5 linked regions of the Canis lupus familiaris genome follow. The protein of the gene in region 5 purifies or fractionates together with the protein of the main gene of each other region. This does not show direct contact. Links are inferred from orthologs where the notes say so. Each region holds a gene or a part of one and is shown on either strand. Other genes may lie near its edges. The genes, in order: RAD51AP1, PPP1R9B, ATAD5, PHLPP2 and WDR48.

Region 1 (4,116 bases), on a different chromosome or scaffold from region 5:
TGCTGTGGGGCATTTATAAATTCCTGTTTATGTATTCTCTTGTTTTGTATGTGCATTCTGTCGTCCTATTAAAGATTATAAACTTGAACAAACTGAAAGCTATTTTCCTCTCATTTTTACTCTCCCCACAATACCAAAGTTCTTTATGGTATAGACACTGAAACAATGATGAATGACTTTGTACCTACCATCTGAAACAAATCTTTCTATTACTTTAGAGAGCCATTAGAAGAAAGTGATATTTGGCGTGCCTGGGTGGCTCAGGCCATTAAGTGTCTGGCTCAGGTCATGATTCCAGGGTCTTGGGATTGAGCCCCAGGGCAGGGAGCCTGCTTCTCCCCTCCCCTCCCCTCTCTGCCTCTCCCCGTGCTCGTCCTCTCTCTCTCTCTCAAATAAATAAATAAAATCTTAAAAAAAAAAAAAGTGATATTTAAACTGGAGAAAATAAACTCACTTTCTTCTCCCTTCCTCTAGGCGCTAAATGTGGTTTTCTTTTCTACCTTCTGCCAAGTACCCAAGTGTGAATAACCTAGTAGGCCAGTTGTTCTTTCAAGCAGAATGGTGTTCTATGAAAAAAGAGGTCAGTTCCCAACTCAATCTCACAAGTGCTTTTTCTGAAGACAACCACTGTAGAAGTAGTTTATGTTTTACATTTCATTTCCTCATATGGAATATTCAAATGAAGAGTACTCTTGTTACTCTCCTACTCTTTAAAGAATTTGAAAGCTGAATAAAATATGAAAACCCCTTTAAAAACTGAAACTGAATAATAGTAAAATATAATAAAAACTTTAAAAAGAAGTATGCTCAACAGTTGACCTATAATGAATATGAGATTTCTTACTGCTTCATCAACATCACATTCTTAAGTGAAACTGGCTCTTTTTTTTTTTTTTTTTTTTCCCTTGGTTAGAGGGTTTCAGGAACCCTAAGGGTCTGCAGTATTTTGACAACTGCTATTGCAGACAAGGGGATTATGTCTTTGCTACTTGGGTGTTTAAAATAAATTTCAGACTTCATGTGCTCAAAATGGGACTTCTGATCCCCCACATCTCCTGAATCTATTTCCTTTCCTAGTCTTCCCCACCTCGGTTAGTACAAAGATCATCCATTGGGATCCCTGGGTGGCGCAGCGGTTTAGCGCCTGCCTTTGGCCCAGGGCGCGATCCTGGAGACCTGGGATCGAATCCCACGTCGGGCTCCCGGTGCATGGAGTCTGCTTCTCCCTCTGCCTGTGTCTCTGCCTCTCTCTCTCTCTGTGTGTGACTATCATAAATAAAAAAAATAAAAAGATCATCCATTCAAGTAGCTCAGGCTAAAAATACTGTGAAGTCATCCTTGATTCTTTTTCTCCCTTACCTCCACATTCACTTCATCAGCAAGGTCTGTCAGCAGTATCTCCAAAATACATCCCAAATTCATCTGCCCCATTCCATGTCCACTGGTAACACTCTATTCCAACCCACTACCCAAATGATAAGGCGGTTTCCCTGTTCCCATTCTTGTTACCCCATCTTCCATTCTTTCTCCACCAGGAGCCAGTGAATTTTATAAAACCAAAATTAGAGCTGTCTGCTCTACTTAAAACTCTCCGTTGACTTCCCATTGTCCGTAGGATAAAATCCAAACTCGGCAGGAGCTCTGTCCAGCTTTCCTCCTCCTAAAGCCTACAAGGTCCTCCCTACTCTGGCCCCTGCCTATGTGCCCTAATCCGCTACAATTCCTCCCACTGCTTGCTAATGCTACAGCTTCAGTGGCCTTCTTCCAGTTTCTCCAACAGTCAAGCTCAGAGCCAGATTTTCCCTGGCAAGCTCCTTCTCAGGATTCATGTCTCAGATCACGTCTTACCTTTGCAGAGAGGCACACCCTAACGACACTTTTTAAAGTAAGGCTCTCCTTCTGCTCACTCTCTATCACTTTGCAGTATTTCTTTGCGGCCCCTCACCGCACCCTTGACTAGGATGTAACCAGTCACCAGCAGCACAGTATAGAAGTATATACACCGAGCAACTTTCCCAGTGAATGGCTGACTCTAGGCCTCCATAGCACTCCACCGTGGTTAAGCACAAGAATGGTTTCAAATGGTATAACGGAAAGCAGGGGGATCCGGAGCCGAGGATTTGGGTGTGTTATCCTGCCACTCAGTAGCTGTGCGACTCGGCTAGCTTGGCCTTTACGCCTAGTACTCTAAACAGATCAAAAATAGGGATACCTAAACTGCTAAAAAAAAAAAAAAAAAAAAAGAAAAGAAAGAAAAGAAAATTTGAAATGACACCTAAGTAGGCGCTCGGCGAAATGTAAAGCGCCATTCGAGTGCTAACACGACCAGGGCTTATTTCAATGGAGCGGGTCAAAGAATCCGCAATAGCTGTGAAGGGAGGCAAAGAGAAGGAAAGGCTGGTACGCCGGATGCTTCTGCGGATTCGGCGACTCTCGGTGGAGACCCGAGAGCTTCCCAGAAACCGTCCACCCCATCCCACCCGCGCTACCCTCGGCTCTATCCGGCCCTTTCCACCCAATCGTGTGCAGACGAAGCTCCCTACACCTTCCTCCTGCCTTTTCTCCCCGGTCCTCGCTGCTGTCATGAACTACTCACCTCACAGGACGCACCATGGTCGCCTCCGCGACGGAAAACTCGCAGCTTTCAAGTTCCTGTTGGCAGGAGTGGCGGTTTCAATTCCCGCGCAAAACCAGACCCAGACGCTCTCCGCCCCCAGCCCCCAGCCGTCCAATGATTACCGGCCATCCTTGCCGCTGCGCATGCGCTCTGAGAGGACGCCGTGCCCAAGGCACTGCCCTTCCGCATCCGTTCTCCCAAAGCCGAGTCTCTGCTTTGCCGCTGCAACTTTCGCCACGACAGTGAATTTTTTTTTTTTTTACGCCTTCTCTGAGATTCATAATAACAGTAGAAATACACCTTTTTTACATTTTTTACATGATTACATTGGGGCGTTATGGAAAAAGGGGGCACTGAGGCCGAGGAATTTTCTACAGAGTGCCGGGAAAGAGGAAAAGGTACGGGCGAATCTGCTGAAGCAGTTTTTACAGCCCACAGATAGGCGAGTAAGTCAGCTGATGTTCCCTGCGCCGCAGCTCCTTGACAGCTCCGAGTGTGCAGCCCGCGCGGGGCTTCGGAACCGGAAGGTGAGCCCAGAACCCAAAGCGAGGAAGCCCGTTCAGACCGAACCCGCCTAGTGGAGCGGGTGTTCCCCCTCGGCCGGAGTTTCTCGCGCTGGCAGCCTGCCCTCCCCTTCCTGCACGCAGAACCCGCACCCTGTTGGCCGCAGGAGTTCTGTCCAGCTCTCTCCTCCTCCCGTCCCCAGTTTGCCTGGGAAACCTTTCCTAATTTCACCCCTGCTTAAAAAAAAAAAAAAAAAAAAAAAAAGTGGGGAGAGGGAACTAAAGTTTCAGACCATAAATTTAAATCTTGAACCGTTTGAAACCGGAGCTAATGGTTTTTGTGGATCGGAAATATTGAATCTAAACAAGATTAGATCATAAACCTATTTATCCGTAAGTTTCAGTCCCCTTTTACGGTGTTCCTTTACTGCTTTTGTCTTCATCATGTGTACTCAATCAGCAATCTGCGATTTTTTTTTTGTTAAGTTCTTAGAGAACTTCTTTTATTATTACTAGTTTTCAATCTGTTGATCATCTTTTTTTGTCAGACGTTTCATATCTGTCATTCTATTAATCCTTATGACAATCCCACAAATTAAAAGACTCCCCGGTGCCCATCTATGCGGAGACCTGAAGAACCTGAGTGGTTGTTATCCAAGGAAAGAAAAGCAGTAAGAGTGCTGCTCTAGGCAAAGAAAAAGCATTCAAAAAGGTGGGAAGTGGAAAGAAAGGTTTTTGCCTGGAAAATGGTTTGTGTGTTGGGGTGTTGAGGGGTGTAGGTGTTGGGGGGGAGGCCTCGAAATACAGACAGAAGCATTGTACACTGGGTAAAGGGGTTTGAATTTTGTCCCGAGAGCAATGGAATATGATCAAAAGGCTTTAAGCAGATGAGCAATATAATCAAATAAGCTCTTTGGAAAGATTACTGTAACTTCAGCATAGAGAATACTGTGAAAACTGATTTGATGATGAAAAGCATAGAGATGGAGTCCAGTG
Region 2 (4,181 bases), on a different chromosome or scaffold from region 5:
AAGACTTGTAAGGTCGAAGCCTCAGAAGGGGGAGGGCTGGCCTGGGAGTAGCACCTTTCAGGCCTCAGCTGGGGTGAGAGGTGGGAGAGGGGCCACTGATATTCTAGGAGGGCTGGGAGGAAACATGGGCAGCCTCAGAGTCCAGGACCAGTTACAGAAACTTTGAGCAAAGAGATGAGGGCTTGGCTCTGGAGGGGTAAAGACAGGGTCCAGGCCCTGGACAGCCCCCTGCAGTGGATCTAGTGCTGGGCACAGCTGAGCCTGAGAATAGGGCCAGCTAGGCTGCATGTGCCAGCCAAGACTGGAGTGGCAGGAAGGGAGGAGGTGACCAAGGGCTCTTAATTCTTCCCGGGGATGTCCCCACCACTCCTGTTGGCACTGTTCTGAGGATCTCAGGGCACTGGCACCAGCCACAAACCAATCACAAGCGTGGTGGCAGGGATGGGGGTGCTGAAGGGCAGCTCCCATCCCTCTTTCAGGGCACCCGGAGAATGTGGCAAGAGGGCTTGGGGTTTGCCAAGGCCATGGGAGTGTGCCCTACCCAGCAGCCAAGAGCAAAGACATGTGGGCAGCTGCCAGGGCCCTGGGGGCTTTCCCAGCTCCCACCCCCTCTCTTCGGTGTCCCGCCCAAGGCCCAGCCCCCTCACGGGCCAGGCCAGGCACCTGCTCCCTGCCCAACACCTCCACCTCCCCAGCTGGCCCAGCACAGACCCCAGGGAACAGGGCCCCAGCGCCAGACTAGGCCTTTCCCCCCACCCTGAGTCACATGGCCCCAGCCTAGCTCACCCTCAAAGACCTGCTTCCCTCTTTCACTTCTGCAAACTTTGGGGTGGGGGCTACAGACAGGATGCAGGAGGACTGTGGTCCCCTACACCTCACCTTCTTTTAGGAAGTTCTTGGCTTCTCCCTCCTCTCTAGGGGGAGTGCAGGGGGGTGTTTCTAAGCTCTTGGTCCTCTCCCGCCCAGTGGGGTCAGGAGCAAAGTGGGGAGGGTCTCCTGAGGACACACACACACAGACACACACTTCCCACCACCCAAGCCCCCAAGAGCCTCGGGCGGCCTCTGGGAGGAAGAGTGCCTGGGAGAGGAAGGGGAAGCAGGTGTCCCAGGATGCAGGTGCGGCCGAGCCAGGGCGGCCAGGGCAGCCAGGGCAGCCAGGGCGAGGCTGCAGGCAGAGGAACCTGAGGGCAGGTCGGGGCAGGCCGCCCTCTGACAAACAGCTGGAAGTCCCCCACGCCCCCCTCCGGGTGGTAACTTCTGGGAAGGGGGCTGGGTGGCAGGGGCTGACTCAGCCTGCCAAACCCGGCTGGCTGGCGGGCTGGCGAGGCGGGGGCGAGGCGTGCACGTGGCAGGGGCGGCGCGGGGGCGGGGGCGGGGAGGGGGCTCACTCACTTGGATGGGCGCCGTGCTGAAATGGATCTTCCGGCTCGGGGCCGGGTCCTCTTCTTCCGAGAGCCCCGGGATCTCCACGCACCCCGACTCGGGCTCATAGGGGGCCTCGCCGTCCTCCTCGTCCTCCTCGTCGTCCTCCTCCAGGGCGCTGCCCCCGGAGTCCTCCCCCAGCCCGCTGTAGGCGCTCACGTCCACCAAGTCCGCCTCCGAGAAGTCCTCCTTCTTGGACTCATCCGCCTCCTCAGGGGCCACGTCCGGGGCCCGGCCGTCGCCCAGCGCTCTTTCGGGCGCCGCCACGGTGGCCGCGGCCTCCTCGGGGCCCGCCTGGGCCTTCTGCGGCTCCTCGGGCGCGGGGCTGGCAGTGGTTGCCAAGGCGCTGCCATTCTCTAGGGCCGCGTGGACCGTCACCTCCGCCTGAATCACCTCCCCGGGCGCCGCCTCGGCCTCCGACTCCCCGCTCTCCTCCACCTCCACCGGCTTGATCTTGCGCACCTCCCGGGGCTTGGGGGGCGGCCGGGCAGGGGCCACCCGGTGCTGCGGAGGCTGCTGCCCGCCGGGGCCGGGGCCGGGGCCGGGGCCGGGGCCGGGGCCGGGGCCGCGCTCCTTGTCGGCCGGCGCATCCCCCGACGGGGCGGGCGGCGGCGGCGGCGGCGGCTGGAACACGCGGGACCGCCTGCTGACCAGCTTCGAGCCGGCGTGCGGGGCCCCGGCGGCCGCGGCCCTGGGCAGCGCCGGGCCGCGGTGCAGGCCGGTCCTCGAGTCGGCCTTCTCGAAGACGGCGCTGAGCTGGCTGACCGTCGGCGACACGGCGTCGGCGTCCAGCTTGTCCAGCGCCTCGGTGCTGCCGTTGAAGCGCACCACGACGTCCAGCTTCCGGTCCTGCAGGCCGGCGCGCTCCTGCCTCAGCAGCCGCCGCGCCGCGGCCTCCTTGTCGCCGCCCGAGGCCGCCGGGGCGCTCCGCTCGAACAGCTTCCGCGTCTCCTGCAGCCGGGACGGCGGGTGCGGCGGCGGCGCGGGCTGCGCCGAGGGCGCGGGCTTGGAGTCGAAGCGGCTCACGCGCTCCGACACGCTGGTGCCCAGCTTGAGCAGGGCGCTGTGGTCCACGTTCTCGTTGAGGCTGCTGGCCCGCGGCAGCGACAGGCGCACGCCGCGCTCGGGCGCCCGCGGGGCCTCGGTGGGGCCCGCGCCGCCGCCCGCCTCGCCCGGCGGCCCCGCCGTCGTGCCCATCTGCAGGAACATACTTTTGATGCGGTGGACGTTGGAGCCATATTTCTTGTGGTGGGCCGCCTTGGGCGCCTCGTCGGGCCCGGGCGCGTCGGGCGGCTTCAGCGCCTGGATGCCCGCCTCGTAGGCGCTGCGGTGCGGGGAGGCGCTCCGGAGGGGACCCCCGGGCCCCCGCGGCTCCGTCTTCATCATGGTGGGGGGAGGCGGGGGCGCATCCCCTCGCTTCCCGCTCCCCCCCTCCGACAGGCGGCTGGCCAAGTCGGGACCACCGCCCCCTCCCCCCGAGAAAAGAAACCCCGGAAGGCCTTTTGTAGGCTCCCCCCAACCAGGCTGCCAAAAACAGTTAACCCCGCTTAAAAAAAAAAAAAAGGGGAAAAAAATCTCCGAGCGCCCTGTGTGGGTCGCCTCCCCCAATCCAGCTGCCACAGCCACCGGCCCCTCGTTCAGAGCCCGAGCGGCCTGCTGCGGTCGCCCCCACCCAAACGCGACAAGCGGCGGCCGGGGCCGGTGGGACCGCGCGCCCTGCCCGCGAAGCAGCGGCGGAGGCGCCGGCTCACATCGTCCGAGGCGGTGTCAGCGGGGCTGGCAGCCCGGGAGTCCCCCACCCCGGCCGGGGGCCTTGGCTCTCGGGGGGCCCGGCACCCCGGCGCCCATGGCTGCTCGGCCGGCCCCGGCCGCTCCGCCGCCGCCGCGCCACCCTCCCTCCCTCCCTCCCCCCCGCGCCCCGAGCCTCGGTCTTTCTCTGGCTCTGCCCGAGCGGCGGCAGCCCGACACCGAGCGGCTGCCCTTCTCGCCGCCGCCGCTGGGGGACTGGCACCTCTGGGTCCTAAAGGGATCGGATTTCCGGGGCTGGAGTCTGTGAGCCCTCCCCTTCCCCTCCTCCCGACCGTATCCCCTCCCCTGCCCCTCCCGCTCCGACAGCCTGACGCTGACCCCCGCTCCCGGCCCGTCCTCTTCAGCCCTTCCATCCCAACCTCTGACTGCGGCTTACCCAGACCCACCAAAGTAGGCCCCCACCAAATACTGGGGGAAGCGGTCCAGCCGCAGTGGTCTCACGGGGGGGGGGGGGGGCTCTTCACCCCAAACGTGAAGGGAGAGTCGTGGGGGCGGGGCACAGGAGTATTTCCTTCATGGTCCTTGTAGTTCTCTAGTGTGGTTCAAGACCATCGGCATCAAAATCGCTGGGCACTTTAAACATTTTTTAAATTCAGATTTCTGGGCCCTCCTCCAAACTTTGTGAAGCAGAATCTCAGAGGCCGGCCCAGGAACCTGCATTTTAACAATTTCTTGTGGAGAACCTTTTGCAACCTTCTAAGGTGTGAAAGCTCCGCTCAGTGTTGCTGGCCTTGTGGTGGAGGAGGAAGGAGAACGGAGAAAGGAAATGGTCCTCATACCCCCCCCAGGTGGCGGCCCGAAGCTGGCCTTTGCCCTTTGGAACCCTGTAATGGGTTGTCCAGTCGCCAGCCCACTCTGCACCCAGGCTGCCAGGGAAGGGGTGGAATCCTTGTCTTCCACCCCTATGGGGGCACTCGCCTCTCAAACAGGGAGGAGGAATTCTGGAGGCC
Region 3 (3,246 bases), on a different chromosome or scaffold from region 5:
ATTACCAGAATTTTCTAGTAAGACCAAATTAACAGGTAAGTCCTCTACAAATAGTGAATGCTAGTATGCAACAGAAAAAAAATTCATATACTTAAAAACCCACAAAACTTCAGATCTCTTCTTTTGTACAAGAGCAAAACCTGTAACCTTTAATTAAATCAACATACTATCAATGAAAAAGTAGACTGAACAAATAAGAGGTAAAACATATCTTTCATACACATTTGTAAACAGGTATACACATCAGTATTTTCCATCTGTACAAAATTAGGATCCTTACCTTTGAGGTAAATATATAATTCACCAGATAATGTAACTGAATTCTAGGCTAATAAATATAAACACTTAAAATAGGAAACTATTTTCAGATATACCTGATTATGCAATAGCAAAAATGATTTGAAGTAAAATGTGGGATTTAAAGATCTTGTAATTAAAAAAACACACTTTCTCCAAAACCAACCTGAAGTGGAAATGGCTATGATGTAGAAAGTTCATATAGTAAAATCCTTTGTTACAATTTTAATGAATAAGCAGTTTGTCCAAAATAGATATATTAACACCATTAATATCTTTATGAAATAAAATACTGATATAAAAATACAAAAAATGTACAAGCAAATGATGTGAGTTGGCAAAATATACAAGATATCACATGTATGGTTGCTAAAAAGGATTTATGAAAATGACAATTCATAATCTTGTTTTCACTTTGTCAATATTCAATGATTCAATGGTAAAATATGCTGGAGGAATACACTAAAAATAAACTTATTGGGAAGATGGTACTTTTTGAAAAATGATGCATAATTTCTTCCCTAGGAAGTTTTTATGTATTACATAATTTTGTATTGTGTAAACTAGATTATCTCCTAGATGATTCATATATACAACTTGACAGAGTACTGACAGGCTGGAGAGAGGTGGGTTAAAATAAACAGGAAAGAAAAATTACAGATTAACAGTGCAACACCTTTAGAAATATTTAGTGAATTCTACCTTCCAGAACAGCTCACTCACACAAAAATACAACAACACTAAACCAATACAAAAAGTTTCAGAAAAAAAAAAAAAAATCACCACAATCATAAATACAATTTGTGACTCAAATTTTTTCACTTTAAATATTTGCACACTAATAATATACAAATAGTCCTTTTTTAAATGTACATTAAGAGAAATAAATTCTTCCATGAAGATCAATATAAAAATGTATCTTGAGGAACACATAATAATCTGTACAAGGCATTGGTAATGTAGATGTTAAGGGAAGCCAGCTGCCAGAGTGTTCACAGTCTCTTTCGAAATGTTAAGATGAATCCCTTCAAGATAGTGCAGGAACCTGTCAAAAATTACAAGGAAAAATGCAATTTTTAAGAATCAGATGAGAATATTTATTAATCTTCAAATAGCTATATATAATGTTATTTATATAGCGCCTTTACCTTCTTTTATTTTTTCCTTGTTCTTTTAGCTTCTCAGTCCTACAAATGTTCCGAAGAGTTGGCAAGTACTCAGTTATACTAGCTTGTCTGTTACCCAGGTTTAGAAGAGATCTGCTAGAAAATACACTTTTAATGACTGCTATCCTCTTCCAGGCACTGCTGTAAATTAAAAGTAATGCATTACTTTTTATTTTTAATGCCCAAGAAAAATGCAGCAATCCCAAATATAACCAGTTTCTAGTCTTTCTTAAGACTAGATTAACCAGATTCCAGGTTAACTTCCCGTATTTTTTTTTTCCTATATCATTTTCAACACAGTCACTCCCATACCAAAAGAATCTTTAATGGCTACCCCACCATCTGCCCCAAGCATATCCAAACCCCATTCCCTGTTATTCAAGAGTCTTCTAATATCTCGTTTTTCTTCCTAACCATCAGGCTGGTCTCCCTGTCTTATTAGAAGCTACATTATTAAGTGTTTGTTTCTTTTAGATTTTATTTATTTATTCACAAGACACAGAGAGAGGCAGAGACACAGGCAGAGGATGAAGCAGGCTCCATAGGAGCCTAATGTGGGACTTGATCCCGGAATCCTGGGATCACGCCCTGAGCCAAAGGCATACACTCAACCGCTGAGCCACCCAGGCGCCCCAATATTAAGTGTTTAACCTGGGATCAATAAAGCCCAGCATTTCAAAATTAGTAAAAAGAAATGAATAATTTCCTCTTTATCATCTGTTATTGAAAAAACAAGTTAAAGGATGACTTACTCTAAATTAGCTGCTGACTGACTAAAGTATACATTGTTGCGCTTTTGTGAAATGGAGAGAGTAAGCTCTTTAGTTGGATCTCTTCCTGATTTCTTGCAAGAATTCAAGGAGGTTTCCAGTGCTTTCGAAATAGTAGATGAACATTTAGTAAAGCTGAGTGCTTCTATAGCTGCCTTTAATTCTCCAGAGCTCTGAGAAGTCCATCCATCACTAGTCTCGAGACTAAATTCATCACAAAGTCCGCTTTTAACATTTGTCCAACTAAAGTCATTTTTACCAAATTCCTTTTGTTCTCTTACATCAACTAAAAGAGCATCTAAGAAGGACATGTTATCCATGAACTCAGTGAGAGAATTTAAACAGTGAGAAACAAGGGCAGAACATTTTTTTTCTGCTGGTGTTTTAGGACAAGGAATAGATTCCGTGTTAGACTCTAAACATTTGTTCAGTTTCTTTACATCTGGATTGCTTTCTTTGTCTCTGGCTTTGCTGTCTTCTGAATTTGAGGAAGATGCAGGAGAACGGCTAAGAAATTCATTAGAGAAATCCAATTCGGTGTCAAACAAGTCGCTATCATCTAGAATTTCCATCTTTTTCTTTTGTTTCTTTTTTTGTGGCTTTTTCAATGGCTTCTCTCCTTCAGAATGTTTCCTAGCAAGACATTTCATATGTTTTGTTGCTGTACTGCTGTCCACACTTACTGATGAACCATAGAAGTTTTCTGTTTCTGGAATGATATTAACAGGTAGTGGTAGAATGAACTCAAGATTACTATGTAAGAAATCTACATTCTGCATTCGGAATTCTGTAAGAAGCTGGATGAACTGATGACATTCTTCCTTTGTTCTGATTTTGTGCTGAAAAACAATTTTGAGTGAAGAAGTGTTAGAACATAGTCTGAATGTTTTCCTACCTATATGAATATAGTGGCATCCTTATTCTATCTTAAAAGTAATGAGTTGCTACCCTCTCATAATTTTATTGACGTATGCTCCCTTAATTCATCAAAATAGTTCTGAGTCTAAAAACTA
Region 4 (3,515 bases), on a different chromosome or scaffold from region 5:
GGCCAACCCCAGCCCTAGGCCCTGTGCAGTGCAGCTAGCTACCTTTGTATCTTTAACATTCTGCATTTATTACACTGCACTGTAATTGCCTGTGACTTGTCTATTTCCCCAATTTGACTGTACCTTATTTGAGGACAGAGACTGCTAACCTAACCACCACTGTTTTTCCAGTACTTGACATACAGTAGGTGTTCAAAAACATATATATAATGAATAAATTAATGGACTCAACAGTATATCATAAAACAGTGTTGACAAGGGAAAAGAAAAAATTGTTTTCAAAATGCATTTCTTAAGCTTGTAGTTTTCTAGGCTGAAAATTCTCAGACTATTATTAAATCATTGTAACAAAGAATTAAATGCATTTTAGCTACCATTTCTCTGGTTACTGATAATCAACTGGGTATAGATTTTCTTCATTCAACTAGTGGAATCATAGCACCACCAAGCTGCTCAACATAAAGCAAGAGGATCCAGAAAGAGAACTGTAATGGAGACTGGCAAATGCAGATTTCATGCTGTGTATCCGAAATGACCAGTGTCTGCATTTGCTTACCTTGCAGGAAAGGTCTGTAGCTGGTTGTTCGCAAGATGCAAGATTCGCAGGTGCGGGTGCCCCACCAGAACGGGCACACACTGGTCTGTCAGAAGGTTGTTGGTCAGATAGAGCAGCTGCAGAGCACTCAGACTCTCCTCTCCAGCACTAGCAGATGGCAAAGATTCCAGACTGTTTGCAGATGCATTCAAGTATCTGAGACTGACAGAACACATACACAAATCACCATTTCCTTTACGGTTGTTACCATCATACTATCTCAGTACAGGACACTGCCATTTCATACTCCCAAACTTATGACAAGTAATTTCCTCCAGGATTTTTTCTCTAATTGATTCTATCCACCCAACCAAAGTTCCTTTATTCAACTCATGCAATTGAAGCAGAGAGGAAAGAATTCAGGCTTGTTTGTGTTCCCAGGCTTTTGCAGTGGTCTGATTCTAAGCTAGTGTCCTCTTTTACTGTCTACTGTGCACAGAATTGTTGAATGTCATGTTCACTAATATCTCACTTGTGAAGGCACCTTTCAGAAAAGTTTTTGTCTAACTTTAGCAGGATCATATTTATTTAGCCAATCCACTTATAGTCTGCAGACAATAGCATATAGGCTGTTGGCAACTATTTACTATTACAGACATTGTGATGAACAACTTTGTGTCCTTATCTAATTATTCCTTTAGGTTATATTCCCAGATGCAGAATTTGTAGGGTCAAAAGTACATTTATCTTTAAGATTTGTATATATAAATATTATCAAACTGAATCCCAGAAAGGCTATTCCAAGTTATACCTTCCACAAGCATAATATAAGAATGTTTGCTCAATCTTCTGTCAAAGCTAAGTATCATACTTAATACTTCATTTTAATCTCTGCCAATCTAACAGGTAAAATATGGTATGATTTAAAAATTTTGCATAGCATGGTGTTTGGTATATGTGAATATGCTCAATAAAAGATAGCTATTATTATTAACCTTGTGTGCTCTTAAGTCTTCTTAATATTATGTGATTCACATCCCTCATTAGCTTTTTAGCTGTTGAGGGTACTATTTACGTGTGTGTGTGTGTGTGTGTGTGTGTGTGTCCCAAAAGTGTTCTGGGCAGTTAGTATTAGATTAGTTTCATTGATAGTTTGCTACAGCTACTAAGTAGCTTCCTTACTAAAAATTATAAGGTTATAAACTAATTTTATTCAGGCTATCATTAGAAATAAATGCAGTGAAAAATAAAGAACTACACCTGGCTGGTTCAGTCTGTGGTGTGTGTGACTCTTGATTCTGGGGCTGTGGGTTCAAGCCCCATGTTAGGTATAGAAATTGCTTAAAAATAAAAACTTAAAACACACACACACACACACACACAAAAGGATGCCTGGGTGACTCAGTCTTGATATTGGGGTTGTGGGTTCAATCCTCACATTGGGTGTGGAGATTCCTTAAAATAGTATGTAAAAAAAAAAAAAAATGAAAGAAAGAAAAGTAAAAAGAGAGTGTCTGGGTGGTTCAGATAATTAAGCATCTAATTCTTCATTTCAGCTCAGGTCAGTATCTCAGGGTTGTGAGATAAAGTCCATGCTGGGCATGGAGCCTGCTTAAGATTCTCTCCCTCTGCCCCTAACCCCCCTCTCAAAATTAAAAAGGGGGGGGGGCCTAAAGGCAGTGTTATACATTACTAACAAATACTTGTTAGTTACCAAGTTAAATGTTACTGCATTAAGATCCCGTATAAACTTTCCAAAAAGAAAATTTCCCTCAAATATTTTCTAAAATTTCCAAAGATTCTACTTTTAGGAAAATCCAACCAAGTATATTATACATTAAGAGATACATAAGCTGCCAAAGAACATGCCAGACACCTGTGAGCTACATGCTTTTTGTATATATCCTGTAGTCTTATGTTAAATTACTACTGCTTATCTCTGTTTTCTCCATTTTTAAACTGAAGATAATATTACCTTCTCCCTATTGCAGAAGACTATAATTAAAACTAGTTTTCACTTAATGGTGACATATGCATGAGATAAATCTGGTTATAGGAAGTAATAGGAAGACACACTATCTATTGGTTAATTCACAATGAGAACACAAACACCTTTGGAACAATGTTTCCTTTAAATGCTCAGTTTTCAAACCAGGTAGTAAAAAAACACTGCACATTAAGAATGTAACTTGATGATAGCTTGGTAAACAAAGCAAGAAGCAAAAATAAATTAACTTTAGTGATACGTCTGTCCTCTTTCCCCAAATGCAAAAGCTAAAAATCGCCCAAGAAAGCTTTATCAGAATGCTGTAATTATTTTTTACGAGGCCATGAATGTATTCATTTTTGGAGATGAAAGCCTGTTTGAAATTTCCCAACCTGCTCGAAAACTGTCTATAACATTAAAACTTAAGTATTTGATGGTTATTGCAACTTTTGAGTCAAAGACTATTGCCTCATCCAACAGTGTCATCTTTTATTTCCTATAAATTACTCATATAAGTCAGTCTCCACCCACACACAGTTGGACCAAGAGGCAAACAATGTGAATATAGTTCCAAAGATCACTCCAATGACCAGTCAGTATAGTTGGTTGCACCAATGATTCTCTCCTCTAAATAAACTTGGTGGCACTTACTTTAAGGCCTTGGAGAAGAGAGTATCTGGCAGCCTGGTGAGTAAGTTATGCTGAATATCCAACACTTCCAGAGGGATGTGCTCCACCAGCATGGGCAGGCTCTGCAGCTGGTTGTGTGCCACTGTCAGCTTCCTAAGACTCAAGCTACTAAGGATTCTAAGGGAAACAGTACAAAGAAATAAATGAAAAACTTACTTAAATCATTCTTTCTGAGTCTGTCCTTGGCCACCTCCCTGAAATGAGTAAACTAACAGCAGCATATTCTAGACAGTCTAATCACTGGCAAGCACCTGGGCCAACAGAGCGGCCATGACCATATGCTTATCCACCACCCACCAGGAA
Region 5 (3,515 bases):
ATGGATGGCTTTTCAAGTACCCTTTCACCCTACACAGTAGATGTTGATTTAGCAATCGGGACTACTCTGAGATAGGAACCCTTCGGAGTATGAGCTGGCTTGGTTCTCTCTTCTTTTGAATCACTCTTCCACATCCTCCCTCTTGAAGCAGTGGACACACTCGTGCTTTGCTCTGCTCACTCAAGTTGAGTGTTGTCTGCTTACAGATACCTGAACTTATCATATTCCTTCATTAAAGACAGGTTAGGAAAGCCAGGTGAGTTCAGGAGCAATGTGGGGCAATTGCACTAGGATTTGCTAGTGGGACAGCTACTGGTCTCTGAGGTACCCAAGAAGTCACAATTTCTTCTACAGGTAACTAATAAAAATCTAAATATATTCTTTTATCTGTAACTCCACAACTGATTCCTGTTTTAATACAGATTTTGCTGGATTTGGCTGGTACACGTAACAGTTTTAACCACAAAACTAAAATATAGGACATACCTTGAGAACTGGTGCTTTTTCTTCACAAATTAGTACCCGAATGTCAGGGTTTCTAAGGTCTGTACAATAAATCTTCCTGTCCCTTCCTCCAGAATACACGTGCGTGAAGGCGTCATTGACTTGCAGAGCCCAGACACCTTCATCATGGACTCGGTATGTTGCTATACATCTCTGCTGGCCAAGGGACCAAAGGCGAATTGTCCCATCAGAACTGCCGGAAAGGCACTGAAAGCAGAGAAAAGTTAAAGTGAGAGAAAGTTCTGGCCAGAAAGTTCCTGCTTTGCTGTGCTCTGCCCTTGGTGCCTCTCCTGACTCTACACTGTCAAACACACACCTCTAACAACCTGCATTTCTACCTCAGATAAAGACTTCTGAAAAGCATGCACTTTGGCTGAAATGACCAAAGGCAACAGTGTATGCTCAAGCAGGGGAAAAGTCTGAGCAAAACTGCCGCTGTCCTCTCCACCTGGCCACATGTAGAATCAGCTTCACCTGGGAACTTGTAAAAATGCAGATTCTCAACCTAAGGAGGCAGAAATTCTGGTGGGCCCCAGCAATTTGTATTGTGATAGGCTCTCCAGGTCATTCTGGTATGCTAAGGTCAACAAGCTTTGCAACAGGCCACAAGCCTTTTAAAGGCCTGGGTCATACCTGTGTCTCATCCCCTCCGCATGGCAATGGATTCCTGATGGCCTCCCAGGTCCCTGAGATTCTACAAATAGAGGAGGCAGCAGGAACATCTAGTCCCAGGCTTACCACTCCCTATTTGTGACCTTGGATACTTCCCATCTGAGCCTCAAGTTCAACATCTATTAATATAAAATGTGGACCATCAGCATTTAGAGTTAACATTAGTGATTCTGACACTTTCTAAAGGCTCAGGAGCTGACACAACTACACAGAAGTTGCTGGCACTCAAATTAGGGCCGAGCACACTATGAGTCCAAGAGAAAGAGGCTAAATCAGCCACCCCACATTCACACTCAGCATGCCTGGTGTTCACTGCCAGTTACCGTGGTGACTTGCAGAAGAGAATAAAAACTTACTTCTCTGGGGAAAAAATGGCCTCAAGAAGAAGTAACTGCTGATGTATGAAATTAAGTAGGCAAAGCGCTTCAAAGATGAGAAGTTAGTTGTGGGCTTGGAGATTTGCAAAGCGTTTCAATAGATGAGGTCTTCAAGAATATTAAGATTTACTGGTATGACGTGTGACTGGAAGGGGCCTTTAGAACTCTGGACGTGTTTAATTAAACGAACAACCACTAGGAGACACCCCCTGTAAGTTGCCAGGAGCATCAGTGTTTTATTACCCTCTTCCAACTGGTTTACAAGGCAACCAAGAGCCTAAGCAACAAAGAACTGCCTGGAGTAAGTTACAAGCAGTAAGTTACAAGCAGCCCTCCAACATGTCTGTGGAAGGACCCCTGCAATCTGATGGAGAGAGGGCAAGGAGGGGCTCCCACTTCCAGGAAGAGCTGCTACTCTGAGGTGGCAAAGCTGTTAGCATATCCTTGATCCCTCAGATTCTAGGCCATGAATCTACAGGAGTAAGGTCTGACAAATTTAGGATAAGGAAAGCTAAGGTGATGGGTTGGAAGTCCTCATAGCTTGGGCAAGTTGCAGCAAGGAAGTCCCAAACCCAAAAGCATAAGCTGAAAGCAGATAAGGGGACACAGAGCTGTATCAACTCTGATACTGAACAAAATAATCTCTGATCGTAATTGTATTCTAAATCTGCTAAAAAGCAGGCCCTGAAGTAGACAATAATTACTTTTAAAGTACAATGCTGGTAAACTTCTTTGCAGCATTTGGTAGTACAGTTGAAGGATGTGCCTATTTAATAGGAAAGAGTGCCTACTACCCTGTAGGACCTAGAGTAATCATCAAACATTTCCCACTACCTCCACCCTTCCACTGGATAAACGTGAAGACGCTATCATTAGGAGGTAATTCTTAGAACTAGGATGGAAGGCCCTGAATGGTTCTGCTACACAAGACTCAGAGGCACAGAGTCTACAGTCCTGATCAGGTTGTTGTGCTTTTGCCAATAGAAATGAGAGGGGAGGGCAGCCCGGGTGGCTCAGCGGTTTAGCGCTGCCTTCAGCCCAGGGCCTGATCCTGGAAACCTGGGATCGAGTCCCATGTCGGGCCTCCTGCATGGAGCCTGCTTCTCCCTCTGCGTGTGTCTCTGCCTCTCTCTCTCTCTGTTTCTCTCATGAATAAATAATAAAATAAAATCTTAAAAAAAAAATAAAAGAAATGAGAGGGGACAGTGTATTGAGGCCTGGCTGCTATGACCAACATACATGTTTCTGGGATGGTCACTTATACACAATTGTGACTGCCAATACACAGGAGCCAAGAGGGCAAGGTAAGCTGGGGCAAGGAGTAACCTGATTGCTTAAAGACCCCTAGACTTTTTTTTTTAAATAAAGATTTTATTTATTTGACAGAGAGAGAGTGTGTGCACACGCATAAGCAGGGGAAACGGCAGGAAGAGGGAGAGAGAGAAGTAGGCTTCCTGCTGAGCAGAGAGCTTGATGAAGGGCTCAATCCTAGGACCCTGAGATCATGACCTGAGCTGAAGGCAGATGCTTAACCGGCCGAGCCACCCAGGTGCCCTAGACCCCTAGACTTTAAGCTAGGTTCAGCAGGACTTCAGTTACAGGAAAACCCTGTGAGGGACACACAAGGATGTCACTGGCTCAACCAAAACAACAGATTATCCCAGTTCCTCAAGCAATTGCCTGAGCAAGTACAAAGGACGAAATGTCATGTGGCTTGTCCCGGAAATGTTGGCACCAATCAAAACAACTGCAGTGGCAATAGATCTCAAACGGTAAGATTTGCTAAATAACAATACAACAAAGGAAGGAGATGTCCATGGGATTCACTGGTCTATTAGACATATCTTATCACAAGTCCCTGACTTCCAATGTCATCAGAAATCCTACATTATTAGAAGCTTGCAGGGCAACTCTGAGGGATATAGTACATACTCTGGTCCAACAACGATTAATTATTTCTCT

What was found.
Region 1: the proteins of WDR48 (region 5) and RAD51AP1 purify together in Homo sapiens (affinity purification with mass spectrometry; 5 studies listed by BioGRID and IntAct, counting the BioPlex papers as one, with this or other methods). This does not show direct contact. The link is inferred for Canis lupus familiaris from reciprocal best matches to the Homo sapiens genes WDR48 and RAD51AP1.
Region 2: the proteins of WDR48 (region 5) and PPP1R9B purify together in Homo sapiens (affinity purification with mass spectrometry; 3 studies listed by BioGRID and IntAct, with this or other methods). This does not show direct contact. The link is inferred for Canis lupus familiaris from reciprocal best matches to the Homo sapiens genes WDR48 and PPP1R9B.
Region 3: the proteins of WDR48 (region 5) and ATAD5 purify together in Homo sapiens (affinity purification with western blotting; 3 studies listed by BioGRID). This does not show direct contact. The link is inferred for Canis lupus familiaris from reciprocal best matches to the Homo sapiens genes WDR48 and ATAD5.
Region 4: the proteins of WDR48 (region 5) and PHLPP2 purify together in Homo sapiens (affinity purification with mass spectrometry; 5 studies listed by BioGRID and IntAct, with this or other methods). This does not show direct contact. The link is inferred for Canis lupus familiaris from reciprocal best matches to the Homo sapiens genes WDR48 and PHLPP2.

What each region holds. Positions count from the first base shown.
Region 1 is NC_049248.1:5,749,470-5,753,585, reverse strand, and holds the start of RAD51AP1 (RAD51-associated protein 1), read right to left. Parts: upstream 2,815-4,116; 5' UTR 2,740-2,814; intron 2,734-2,739; exon of another isoform or gene 2,653-2,733; 5' UTR 2,614-2,652; coding exon 2,597-2,613; intron 1-2,596. UniProt on the Homo sapiens protein: Structure-specific DNA-binding protein involved in DNA repair by promoting RAD51-mediated homologous recombination.
Region 2 is NC_049230.1:26,099,888-26,104,068, forward strand, and holds the start of PPP1R9B (neurabin-2), read right to left. Parts: upstream 2,809-4,181; coding exon 1,393-2,808; intron 1-1,392. UniProt on the Homo sapiens protein: Seems to act as a scaffold protein in multiple signaling pathways. Modulates excitatory synaptic transmission and dendritic spine morphology. Binds to actin filaments (F-actin) and shows cross-linking activity. Binds along the sides of the F-actin.
Region 3 is NC_049230.1:40,841,468-40,844,713, forward strand, and holds the end of ATAD5 (ATPase family AAA domain-containing protein 5), read right to left. Parts: intron 3,073-3,246; coding exon 2,216-3,072; intron 1,605-2,215; coding exon 1,446-1,604; intron 1,343-1,445; coding exon 1,264-1,342; 3' UTR 508-1,263; downstream 1-507. UniProt on the Homo sapiens protein: Has an important role in DNA replication and in maintaining genome integrity during replication stress.
Region 4 is NC_049226.1:78,024,971-78,028,485, forward strand, and holds part of PHLPP2 (PH domain leucine-rich repeat-containing protein phosphatase 2), read right to left. Parts: intron 3,330-3,515; coding exon 3,174-3,329; intron 758-3,173; coding exon 557-757; intron 1-556. UniProt on the Homo sapiens protein: Protein phosphatase involved in regulation of Akt and PKC signaling.
Region 5 is NC_049244.1:8,978,508-8,982,022, reverse strand, and holds part of WDR48 (WD repeat-containing protein 48), read right to left. Parts: intron 712-3,515; coding exon 487-711; intron 1-486. UniProt on the Homo sapiens protein: Regulator of deubiquitinating complexes, which acts as a strong activator of USP1, USP12 and USP46. Enhances the USP1-mediated deubiquitination of FANCD2; USP1 being almost inactive by itself.